Linked DNA regions of Schizosaccharomyces pombe. Changing the gene in region 3 together with the main gene of any one other region gives a genetic interaction. Each region holds a gene or a part of one and is shown on either strand. Other genes may lie near its edges.

The links.
Region 1: mutations in ymc1 (region 3) and SPOM_SPBC365.16 together harm fitness more than expected from each alone (negative genetic interaction), as found in Schizosaccharomyces pombe (one large-scale study listed by BioGRID).
Region 2: mutations in ymc1 (region 3) and wwm3 together harm fitness more than expected from each alone (negative genetic interaction), as found in Schizosaccharomyces pombe (one large-scale study listed by BioGRID).

What each region holds. Positions count from the first base shown.
Region 1 is NC_003423.3:2,527,951-2,532,802, reverse strand, and holds SPOM_SPBC365.16 (uncharacterized protein), read right to left. Parts: upstream 3,137-4,852; 5' UTR 1,816-3,136; coding exon 982-1,815; 3' UTR 589-981; downstream 1-588.
Region 2 is NC_003423.3:200,568-204,125, reverse strand, and holds wwm3 (protein wwm3), read right to left. Parts: upstream 1,846-3,558; 5' UTR 1,591-1,845; coding exon 1,159-1,590; 3' UTR 503-1,158; downstream 1-502.
Region 3 is NC_003424.3:2,287,777-2,291,713, forward strand, and holds ymc1 (transporter Ymc1), read right to left. Parts: upstream 2,242-3,937; 5' UTR 2,211-2,241; coding exon 2,172-2,210; exon of another isoform or gene 1,771-2,171; coding exon 913-1,770; 3' UTR 580-912; downstream 1-579. Other genes in the region: SPOM_SPAC4G9.19 (DNAJB family protein), read left to right, coding at 1-413. UniProt on the Schizosaccharomyces pombe protein: Acts as a glutamate and glycine mitochondrial transmembrane transporter.

The DNA.
Region 1 (4,852 bases), on a different chromosome or scaffold from region 3:
ATCCAACATATGTAGTAAGTATGGATGGAGAGATAAAAATGGGAATGGGAATGAGAGTATTTTTAGATAGAAATAGTGTGACGGCAATCGTACAATAGTTAATTTATTGTGGCAAGCCATCGCAATAACAAAATACCTCGGGAAGAGAATTAAGCGCAATACGAAATTATGGTAAATCGGCGATTCTACTAGTAGGTGTTTATTGTTTTACTAATTATAATGACGATCAGTAAAAAGTAGGTGAGCTTTGAAAAAACCGTTGCTATACACTTTAGGATTTATTTTGACGAACCAATTAATATGGCTACCGTAGTACGGTACATTTTGAACCATTCAGTAAGCTAGTAGATAGGAATAAGCTATCGTCTTTCTGGTCAACATTGGAATGCAAAAAGAAATAATCTCACTCTGTTTATCGGTTTTAGGTTTCTACCGAAAGCCCATTCAAAGACCGTAAAACACTATCGGCAAAAGCTGTTTGTAAACGAACGATAAAAGAATAAATTTGCTAAACAAGCGGTCTTTACGGTTGCTCGTTTTTTGACATACACAAATTTGATACTCAACCATACTAAACACAAACGAAAATGACTTAAAATAGAATTCAAATTTTATTTATTAATGTACAAAAGAAAACCATGTGTCTCTTTGCCTCTTTATTTTCTCTTGCAGTTTTTCTTTTTTCTTCAAATTCTTCTCCAGACAAAGAAAAAACTCAGACGCATAAAAATCAAGTAGAAAACTTTTTTAAGTGAAACCTTCATTACACATACACTATATAGTTCATTCAAAAAAGTATGCAGCTTCATGTTCCAGATAACAGGATGTATGCCACTTTCCTTATATAGGTTTAAACCGTAGTCCACACACTTTTTAGACACTATTCAGTAGTGAATAATAAAAAAATGATGAAAAATAATAATAATAAAATAATAATAATAATAATAGCCGAAAGAAAAAGGAAAGAACGTCATGTATGGACTAAGCAAGAGCAAATTGTTGTTTTTTCATAGTACGTTGTTGAAGCGAATCCAAATAAGTGGTTCGTAATTTACGATTAGTAACACCGCCAATACCAAAAGCCGGAAGAATCCTAACCATACGGGCGAATGTGCTTTTTAGTAAATGCTTACGAACTTGCATAACGCGGTTGGCTGCTGATATGTTAGGTCCACCTCTGTTATAAATGTCAAGGGACAGGAGATGAAGAGGTGTGCTAATAAACTGTACGGCACAGGGGGTGAGCAATTGAGCGGTGATTAAACCACCGGGGAGTAATGGAGCAATCATAGGAGGTATGTTGAAGGAAAAGGCGATGGTGAGTGCATCACGAAGTCCATAAAGACCGTAACAAGACCAAGGGAGAGGACGAGGAGAACCGGTGCCCCAAAATTTGGTAAAGAAACTATCCTTCAAGATGGATAAACCGCTGTTTGCAGCGGTGACAGAACAGAATTTAAACCAGCCGGAAGTTTCCGCCTTGAAGACGGGATTCTTGTGACGAATGTTATCCAGTGTGTCTATGGAATTGGCCGTCATATATGTGCCCGAGTATAATGTAAAGACCAGGGCAAAGGGAGCGCTAAAAAAGAAGGCGCCTGGCTTTGATAAAACATATTTGATGGAGCGACTAACAGAGCGTAATAAAGTAGAACGGCCACTAGTATTTTCGACGATTGAGCGGTCGATCGTCAAGATAAAGGGAGAAATCATGGCACTGGCGGCTGTAGCGGCAAATGCATCGATGCCGATCCGCTTCCAGGTATTGGAGGGAACGGGTTTGGGGGACAAAGGGGGTTGACTATTAAGAGCCATGTTAAAGTCAAAGAGTTTAAAAAAAAGATTAGAAAAGATAAAAAATAAGAATAAAAAAACCAGAAAAGATAAAAAAAATATTAAAAACTTTTTTGTGAAAATAATAAAACAAGCCAAGCAAAAGGTCTTTAGGTATCTATTTTTCTCTCTTTTTAAAGGTTTAATCTAATTTATACAACGTTAAAGCTGAAAAGAAAGAGACGATTGCGAAAAAAAAGCAAAGCCAAAAATAATTTTTCTTCAAATAAACTGCACTTCAACAAATGCAATGAAGGAAAAAATTTAAAACGTTAAACACGAATAGTATAGGCTAACGGGGCAGATAGTACAGGTGAGAGGAAATGTCACCAAAAAAAGACAATTAAAAAGATGCTGAGTAAAAATGAAAGACCGAGAAACGACGACAAGACCAATTGAACAACAAAAGTAGTAGTAGTAGTAGTAGCAACAAAAACAAGTAAAGAGAGGGAAACCAAGTAATTCACACTTTGGAAATGTATATATTCCTTTCTTTTCTTTTTCTAAGTAAAAAGATATATATTATATCAACAAAAAAAGGTAAACCCGAAATCCTAAAATTATTATAAATACAAAAAACCAATAATAACCACAAAGTCCAAGTTAAAGCAAAACCACTTGGATTGTAAGAAGGAAGATTGATGGTGGTTTAAAAAAAAATAAGACGATGATTGGGATTGTGAATAAAAAAATTCAATTCAATTTGATTCGTATCGTTAAAACTGCTTCGCTCAATCAAAACTAACAGTAACGTGAAGTAGGCGATATAGGGAAAAGACAGAACGATTTCCAAAATAAGAACGACAAGTGACTAAGCCGTTTCTATAGCAAACAAAGGCTAAGTTTACAAGGGTTGATCAATCAACGGGTGGAAATGAGGTATATCGATGCAATGATAAGACAACCTTGTCCAACAATCCAACTAGCCAATGAGAAAACAAAAGTCAGACAGCCCACCAAATAGCAGGTGAACGAGTAAAAAACAATTAAAACAAAGGGTTTGATTCCACGCTTTGAGAGAATTATCCCGTACGTTTGAGATGGGGAAAGGATGCGTAAAAAAAGCGGTGGTGGTACTGTGGTGGTTGTAGTAGCGGTAGGAATGGCAATATCAACAACACTCTTCAGTAACAAATAGTACTGGGCAAGCAGCAGTATGAGTATGGGATAGCAGTGAGTAAACAAGAGTGTCTAAGGACTTTAAAAGATATTGCTCGTAATAGTTGCTAGTTGTTCCCAGTTACGCTGGTTCCTATCCTTCTTCTCGTGTCGTAATTGGATCAAGTGCTTGAAGAGGCGAGCTGGAAGAGAAAAAAGAGCGAACGAAGCACGTTTTATATCAAGTTGGCATCAATTTTTAGTCTTAAAGATTCTGTGTTATCTTGCGTTAAACGGGTCAAGATAGGGTGATGATCCCCTTAATTAGCAAGACCGAACAACTTGGGACAACTTGGGATAACGGACTTTTGCAAGAAAATTAGGTGACCCAACCTGGTATCGAGGTAACAGCATCCGAGGTAAAACCGAATATGAGAACAAGTACCGACGAGCTTGAAGGGCGGCAGCGGGGCAAGCAAAAAGACAAGGTGGAAGATGCTGTGTTGAAGTATAGGAGGAAGTGAGATGAAGATTTTGTATTGAGATGTGTTGACGCTGTCTAATAAAGGAAGGTTGCTGACAAATAAGGCATGCTCTTGATTGTTTTATTTTTATTTTTTATTTATTTTTTTTTGTGGTTAATTGTTTTTTTTCTAACTCACTTACTCATCTAATCATTTTTTCTCTGGTCCTTTTTCTCTAGTTCCTTTTTTCCTCTAGTCCCTTTTCTCCTCTAGTCCTTCTTCTCTAGTGGTCTTCTCATCTTTCTAGTCTGGTATTTACTGTTTCACATGCAATAGTTCTAGTAGCGATGCAGCTATTCATTGCAAGCGACTATTCCTACAATGTAAACAGTGTAAACATTGTAGAGAGTCGCTGCTCAAAATCTTAGAAACGGCTAATACTCTTTTCTACTCTTGCTTTTTTGTTGATTTCTTTTCTATTGTTTTCTTTACTTTACTTTCTCTACTTTGCTTGTCATTGCTAGGTCTAGTCTTGTCGGGCGAAACAACCCAACAAGAGTAAATTTTCAGATGGTGACGTTGAAGACTGAGATCCTCGACATCAAGATTTGGGTGTGATAAACGAACGGACCCTTAGATGGATAGCGTATTCACACCCTAAACCCGAAACATAGGGTAGCGTTTTTAAGGCTGCCGAAAGGCGAGTCTACTATGGCCCCTACGGTGGATAAGATGGATAGTGAGTAAATCCAAAGGGTATTTGTCAAGCAAAAAAATAAATAAATAAAGCAATCAATAGGTGGTGTTGCATTCGCTAGTTTGCTTCATTTATTAATTATTACATTCATTAGTTTTTTATGTTCGTTAGATATTAAAAGATCATCAAACTCATCCTTCCTCTTATAACGTCTCTTTTTCTTTTTTGTTTACTCTTCACACTCTTGCATACTTTCATAATTTTTCCAACAAAACTTATCTTGTCAAAGCTCACCAAATTTTATCTACGAAATAATCTTTCTCTCTCTCTCTTCATTATCAGTTAGCTACATTCCATTTTCCTTCTGTCTCCCTACTTTCTCCCACCCCGATCATCCACCTATCCATCATCCTTCATCTACTACTGCTTACTATCCGTAATCTATAAGAAGTGTTGGCACTCACTAATCCTCTGAATTTACGGATACTGCTCTTGAACTCGTTATCGCTATGTTTCGAACGGCGACTCTCTTCCTAAACACTTTCTAGCAGGTGGTTTCGCGATCCCAATTGCTAAAACACTTTATTTCATTTTCCGTCCCCTGCTGCCAAGGAGAATTTCGGATCTAAATCGACGAGGAAGAAGAGGACGGTATTGCAAAATTTGAGAGATATTTACGTTTGTATGAAGTTTGAAGAAAAAAAAAAAAAAAAAGAGGATGAAAATTTTTCTAACATACAATCTTTCATCAAATCCTTAA
Region 2 (3,558 bases), on a different chromosome or scaffold from region 3:
AAAAGGAAAATTGCTCTTATTACCCTTTTTAATCGCCGGCTTTGCTTAAAAACAAACGGTTTTGCATTGCTATGAAAACCCTCGACATTCATTTGATAATTGCCAGGTACAAATTTACGTATCCTTACTGAATAATCGTAATATGAACAAATAAATGTTGTACCGTAGATAATATTTCTTAATTTTGAAATATATTAACTTTTCTTATTTCATTATGTGTATCCAAGAGCCAAGTTATATTTCTCTTATTTTAAACAGCTTGATAAATACAGGTTTTAAACGATTCAAATGATATCTGTTTGTCTTTTAAAATAGTGGTATGACATCCCATAAGTGTAAAAAAAATTTTTTTTCTTTCTGCCTTAATTTTTTCGGAATTGTGCATTTAATCCAAAACCAAACAAATATCTGAGTTTGCCAATTATATAGTCAGTAATACACCACTATAAACTATTCAACTAAAATACCCAAAAAAAAAGGACAACTAGTAATGAAAAAACAATGATAATAATAAATGAAAGATATATAATTGACTATTTTAAATCATGCATAATAAACTAATTTAACGTCTGAAAAAACAACCATTGATTTTTTAAAAGTTTCAAAAATTGTGCTTCACCCAATTTTTTACAATTAACCAAAAAAAAATATAAATAAATAAGTAAATACACGTCGAAGTGATAAATGCCAAAAAAATGATTCCATCGACAACCAACTCCGTCGATATTCACACCCATTATAATATATGCTCCTTACTTCTTTGGTATTAAACAGAAATTTTATAAATTAGACCGTTTTCCTCGAAATCCCAATAAAGAATGCAATGGTACAATAAATAAGGAAGCTTGAAACAAGTAAAGATCAGATGATAACAAAATTAATATAAGTAAACAAGAAATTAGGTCAAAGAACGACTAACAGAATATAACAATTTTAGAACGATTAGCAAAAATAGTATGAAATTTCAAGGGAATAAAAAGAACTTCACTGGATATCGTGTTTTCCATTTAACAATTTCGAAAGAGTCGTATACGTGAATTTGGTGATTCTATTCAAAGGAGAAAGTGATGTTCTCAAAAAAAAAGAGCGATTCCATAATCAACGACCATAGTATGTAGGACGAAATCGGAACCAAATTTAAATAAAAATCAACGCTTTTCATCTGCGGCCACGTCCACCACGTCCACCCATGCGTCCACCACCGCGGCCGCCGAAACCACCGTGAGGACCATGAAGTGGGCCATGATGGCCACCACCGATTCTTGGACCAAACAAAGGGCCTCTGGGAGGAGGAGGGGCGTAGTAAGCACGGTGACCACGAAGAACACTGCCGGCTAAAGCTCCAACCATGAAACCTCCTAATCCAGCCGTCATAGACCGTGAGCCGTCAGAAGAGCGAGGCACGTCCTTTTGATAGACGACGGTAGTGGTACCGGGAGGAGGAGGAATATGCAAGCCTGGAATAGGAGGCTCCCACTGTGGTTGAGCACCTTCAAACGTTTCATTAATGTAAAAGTAAGCTTGATAAGTTGGATCCCATTGGGCGACCCAACCAGCTGGCAAGCCCTTGTAAGTTTGATAAACAGACATCTTTCGATAAAGTAATTAATGAGAAACTGTAACTTAGAAAAAAAGAAGTAGTGAGAAGTAGAGTATGTCTGTTAAGAATTATTAATAGACAGGCACAAATGTCAAAAGAAAAAAAGAATTAGCAGCGAAGTAGAAACGGTATGTATAACAAGAAAGAATTTATGATCTCGTTATAGTAAGAATGAAGAAAAGATTAGAATAACGAATGCTTTGAAAATGAAGCAAGTAAAAAAAATGATTGATTGAAATTAGATTGACGAAAAGGTGAGGAAAACTCGCAAATAAATAAAGCTTTGCATTAGGACATAGCCGACGGACAATACGTCACTTTTGTGGGGAAATGATGAGTTATTGCGTAGTTGTAGTGTGGAAGCGAGTGCGATTTGAACTCTTTTTCTTCCATCGGAATAGAAAACATATGAGCGGGGCCGAAAGCTGCCGCAATCTATTTTGCGATTGTGTACCCGATATCCTAACAGCAAAGCAGTGAATTGGAAGATGAATTTACTACAATATCTGTAGTGTCTTTTAGTTACATTCAGAAAAGAAATTGATACGAAAATGTGCACGCTAAAAGCTCAAACCCATGTATACTTATGATCTTCCAATTGTACAAATTATTGCTATTTTCGCTAGTCTATAGATCGATCAGCCATTGACGTCAGCGCTCGTTTAGTATTTGAAAACAAACGCCAAGTTAGGTGTTTGTTTATTAATGTGTTTCTTTGGGTATATGAGTGTATGAAAATTCGACTCAAGCTCCTGTTAACACTTGATCTTTCTTTTGAATCGCGAATAGCATTGACTCCGATATCTCGGTTCAATTTTTTTGAGTAAATAGTAAACGTACGTTTCATAAAACTAACTTTAACAAAAAATTATCTACTTAGTGAATTAGTTCTCACTTGGATAAATACTTGTTTTTGTCAAGCTTTTAGCATGGTCAATTGATATCAAAAGGAACTCACTCCAAAAAAAATCGACCCCACTTGGGTCCATGAACCTCTCTTGTCTTGCATCTCTCAAGGACTGGATGGATGTGGGGGTTCGGGGAATCAAGAGTTTTCAATGGAGTAAGTGCAATCAAATAAATCAAAGCGACAAAGGATTAGAGCGAGGAGACGAGAAAAGATGGAAATACAATGAGTAAATTCGTATTAAAATTGATATCGTTTTAACGAAGGAAAAGAGAAAGTTACTCTACGTAGGTTTGCAAAAAAAAAATATATAAATGTAGATGTAGATGTAAAATTAATGTTAATGAGAAATTTGAAATTAAGGAAGCATAAATAGTATGGAGACATTATAGTTAATATGGACGATGAGTTAAAAGGAATAATTGGTTTAAGTGAAGCTAAAGAAAAATAAAAATAAAAAAATAAAAAGATGTCATTTAATATTAAATTTAAAAAAGACAACACACACATAAGAACTATTCAATAAAATAAAATAAACACAGTACAATAAAATAAAATAAATAACGATCTAACGAAACAGGAAAAAAAAAAAAAAATAATATATTACAAACAAAAAACAATCTCAAAAAGCTATCTTATAATTTGAGTATCCTAACCATAATATTTATTAACTCATATGTAAGTTTATCTTGGTAGAAGCTTTACCTTTAAGAATTGACTTCATTCCTACTCGCATCGCATTTGTTGCTTCTATTTTAGAGATAAAAGCTCTTTTAATTGAACTTATGCTTTTACCAACACGGCACGTGAATCAAGTTAGAATAATAGTCTAAATGTCCACAAAGGGTGGTTTCTCGTTCTATGAATAAATATAGTAGTAGCTTAGTGAAAATTCCACGGGACATTAGTTTATATAAGAATAAAAGTGAATGTATGAAAATTACATGTGAAGAATAAATTTGTGGTAAAATACACGTCTTTTAAAATATAGCTAATAGCACACATATTTTGAAGCATGCTTTATATCCTGCTCTTTCAATGCAAGGTTATT
Region 3 (3,937 bases):
CCTATTCAAGATCTCGTCGTTCTGCTGGTATGGGGTCTTGGGAAGAATACTACTACAATTCCTATGATTATATGAATGACCAAAATGCTTCTAATAAAAACAGAAAATTTGACGATGAAGGCATGCTTGTTTTTGCAGGCATATTGTCTATCCTTGTCATCATCAACATCTACTCTAATTATCGGAATGGCAAATTTTATCGTGAGGCTCGATCAGCCGCAATCGGTCGTGCGGAAGACAATTTTGATTATTATAGTACAGGCATGGCCGATTTAAGCAAAGACGATAGGATTTCTCGTTTCCTTATCCTTCGAGAACAAAGCAAACAAATCCCTACTCAGCAAAAGCCTAGCTCTTTACCACCTCCCGAACGTGCCCTTCCAGCTCCCACTATGCCAACACCATCCTCTTAATACTTCTTTTATTAATACTTTCACTATTCTCATCTTCATTGTTATTGTTACGGATTCGTCACCCAGTGAAGATTTCACCTGCTTGACTATTTTATGAGTTTTATTATGTTAATGGAACATTGAATGACCTTTTTTTTTTTACTTATTATATCGTATTATTCGCAGAGTAAAGTAGTACATGAGTAATCAGTAGGGAAAAAGGAGGAATCGCATTGAGGGGGGGGTATATTTAAAATCTAAATCTCTTAAAATCAACTAATCTAATGAAATAGCCACAAAACAAAAAGCAAGTTAACTAACAGTGACCCAGTAGGGAAAAATTAAAACATATTAGTAGCACTTCTTGGTAAAAAGAAGGAAAAAATCAGGAATAAAACCAGCAATTAACAAACAAAGAAGCTCTACAAAGGGAGCAATAAAGAACTTTGATTATCCAATGTTAAAGACCTACGCTAAAATCTCAAAAAAGAGGAGAGAAAAACAGGAAAAGCTACAGTAATTAAAGATGCCTGATGTGTTGAGAAACAGTCTCGTATACATAAAATGTAACAGCATTGGCGGGAGCAGCACGAACTAATACGGGTACAAAGCCTCTATAAAAGCCTCGGAGGCCAGCTTTGGTGTAAATACCTTTGGCGCATTGCCAAGAATTTTTGTACGTGGCTTTACTTAAAAAGCCATCCGTTTGAATTTTGGATTTGACGATATCAAAGGGATATGCAGCTAGCCACATTGCATAACCAGCACCGGCGCCAAACACGCAAAGTTTCCAACCTGGGGTTTGTGATCGATCGGTCAAATGATGCTTGGCCATTGTGTTTTTCACCAGAGCTTCATAAGCCAAAAAATACATTCCAAGGCCATGAGCCTCACGAGCGGCAGTAGGGTTGTAACCCTTCATGATGCCACTAAGACCATATTGCGAAGAAATCTTTTTGATACAATCCCAAGGACCATGGTACAAAACATTTTTGCCCGTCTGGATTTGAAGGCGAATACGGACATGCTCTACGGGACCCACCAAAAAAGAATTCGCCAAGCCGGAAATAGCACCGGAAACATAATACTGAGGCATGGTCACGGGAGTACCGTCTCGAGAAAAGAAACGTTTACAATATTCAAAGGTGGTAAACTGAATGGAAACGCAAAATCCAATTCCCAAAAGTGGTAAAACGGTCCCTTTGTAAAAGGCGGCTAAACCCTCGTTTTTGGAAATTTTTTTTACACAATCGAGAGCATTGTTGTAGATGGGGGAAACATTACTCTGTGATTGCAAACGAACCTTGACACAATCAAATGGCTGTCCAACAAGGACCTGGGCGACGCCGCCAGACACACCTGCCAAGAAATCTTTAGTCTAAACAAGTTAGTAGAGGAAGGGGAAGATGAAGGAGATTCATAAATGCAGTGTTTTCATCATTTTGGAGGGAGCAAAACAAGAAAAAGTAAAAAGATACGAAAGAAAAAACTAGTATTGCCAATAAGTTTTTATCACCTTTTTCGTGCATTAGGGCATTAAACAGGAAACAAAAGAAAGGATTATGGAGAAGAAGAAGAAGGAAAAATATAATAAAAAAAAAAGAAACAAACAAACAAAAAAAAAGAAAAAATAAAGAATGAAAGAAACAAAAACCTGAAGAAAAGAAAGAATGAATAAAACTAAACCCCTTTCCCTAAAAAAATAATCAACGCTGCATTTTTTGTCGGATAAAAATCAAACTAAATGAAAAATATCCACTTCAACCACACTTTACATACCGATTGCGAAAGAGCGCCCTCTGGTATAACTGGTTCCATCTACAAACAAAGGCACTGCGGTGTTAAAGCCAAGTTGAAAATGGCGAACCTGCGAGCCTGAAAATTGCTTTTTCAACGGACATTTAGCTTAACGGTCGCGAAATCAAATTAGCGACTTGTTCACACACACTATATCCACTTATCACATCCACTTTACAGATTAGATAGCAAGTAGGCAGGCAAATAACAAAGTCGAATGCACAACGCAATTTCCGCATGGCAATTAGAAGCTAGTATAGTATAGTATAGTTTAGTTTAGTTTAGTTAGTATAGTATAGTTGTCTAGTATGGTAATGTCTGTCTCGTATAGCACAGTCTTTAATAAGACATAATTTAATAAAGTATACTGACTAGTGAGTTAAGTAATAAAGGCAAAATACCTGCCACACCGTCATTCAAGCGTAAACAAAGGAATAAGAAGAAACGATGAAAGACAGTGAAATGGTGTGGCAGTCGCCGGATGCAAGCAACAATCGGGATTGCGACAGAAGTTAACTAATTAAGGCAAAAGCCTAGACATGCATAGAAAAGCGTTTTTCGTCCACCATGTTTTGGGCAAAGCGAATAAGACGATAAGACAAGAGTAGGGCAAAGATGACACTGACCGATAATGCAGTTTTGATAATGAAGGCAGTACAAAGTGTAAGGTAGAAGGAATTCTAGAATTTTTTACATGAGCAGCAAGCGATAGGATCTTTGGTGGAAAATAATGTGAAAATAGGTGTAATTTGTGATTGTGAATGATTGTACAAACAATGATTGCAAGCATCCACTAGTAGTAATCATAGCCTGCTGATCTAGTACAGTGTAAAGAAAAGTACTTGATCAATTTTAGCCACATAAATTAATTTGCTTTCACAGTTTCATTTCTTTACAAATCTCACCCTTAGCTACTATTCTACTTTTCCATCTACAATAGCAAATACAAGTTGCATGTACTACACTAATCCATTCATACATTGTCTGAATGACACTTGTTGGCAATGACAAATTCGCAGTTAGTTCTATGCTGCTAATCTACGTAAACGCAATGCACAACGTGGATTGCGTTCCATGCATGCCCATACTGATAAATTAAGCTGCGAAGCGAAAAGGATGGCGAATGCCACTAGGCGGGTAGAAGCGAAAGCGAAATGAAAAGCGAATGCGACCCACTCAAAATCTCAAGATAAAACAAAACATACGCATACTGTCGGATGAAAAAGAAATGAATAGTTGCAGCCACCAAAGATTGAGCAATTGATCTTTGAAACCCACTCGACCCACTTTTCAACGGTCAATTGAATACTTCACTCTGGAAATCAAGTCATTGCACTCAATTTCCAAACTCTTTGTTCTTGCATAGGATGCATTCCATTTATCAGCAGCTATTTCATTCATTTTTTTCATTCGCATCCGCATTCGCATTCCTACTCAAATCTTTTCTCTTTTGCATTTCCATTCAATTCATCTCTTTTGTTTATTTACTGTTTTGCTCTTCTCTTTTGCCCTGCTCATTTCTTTCCAACCATAATCTGATAGCTTGTGTTGTTGTCAAACAGTCGCTTTGCCTCCTCTATGACTGCTTTGCCTAACGAGCGTATTATTAGCACATTGAGTCAATCAAGGTGACGTCGCCCGCACTCCGATATGCGTATGCCGCTTTTTGCCTCGATTATATAAGGCATCGGGAACCCCACCAACTTTATCGCAGATTTTACTGTGGTTGTAGAAGAAGTGTGCAATTC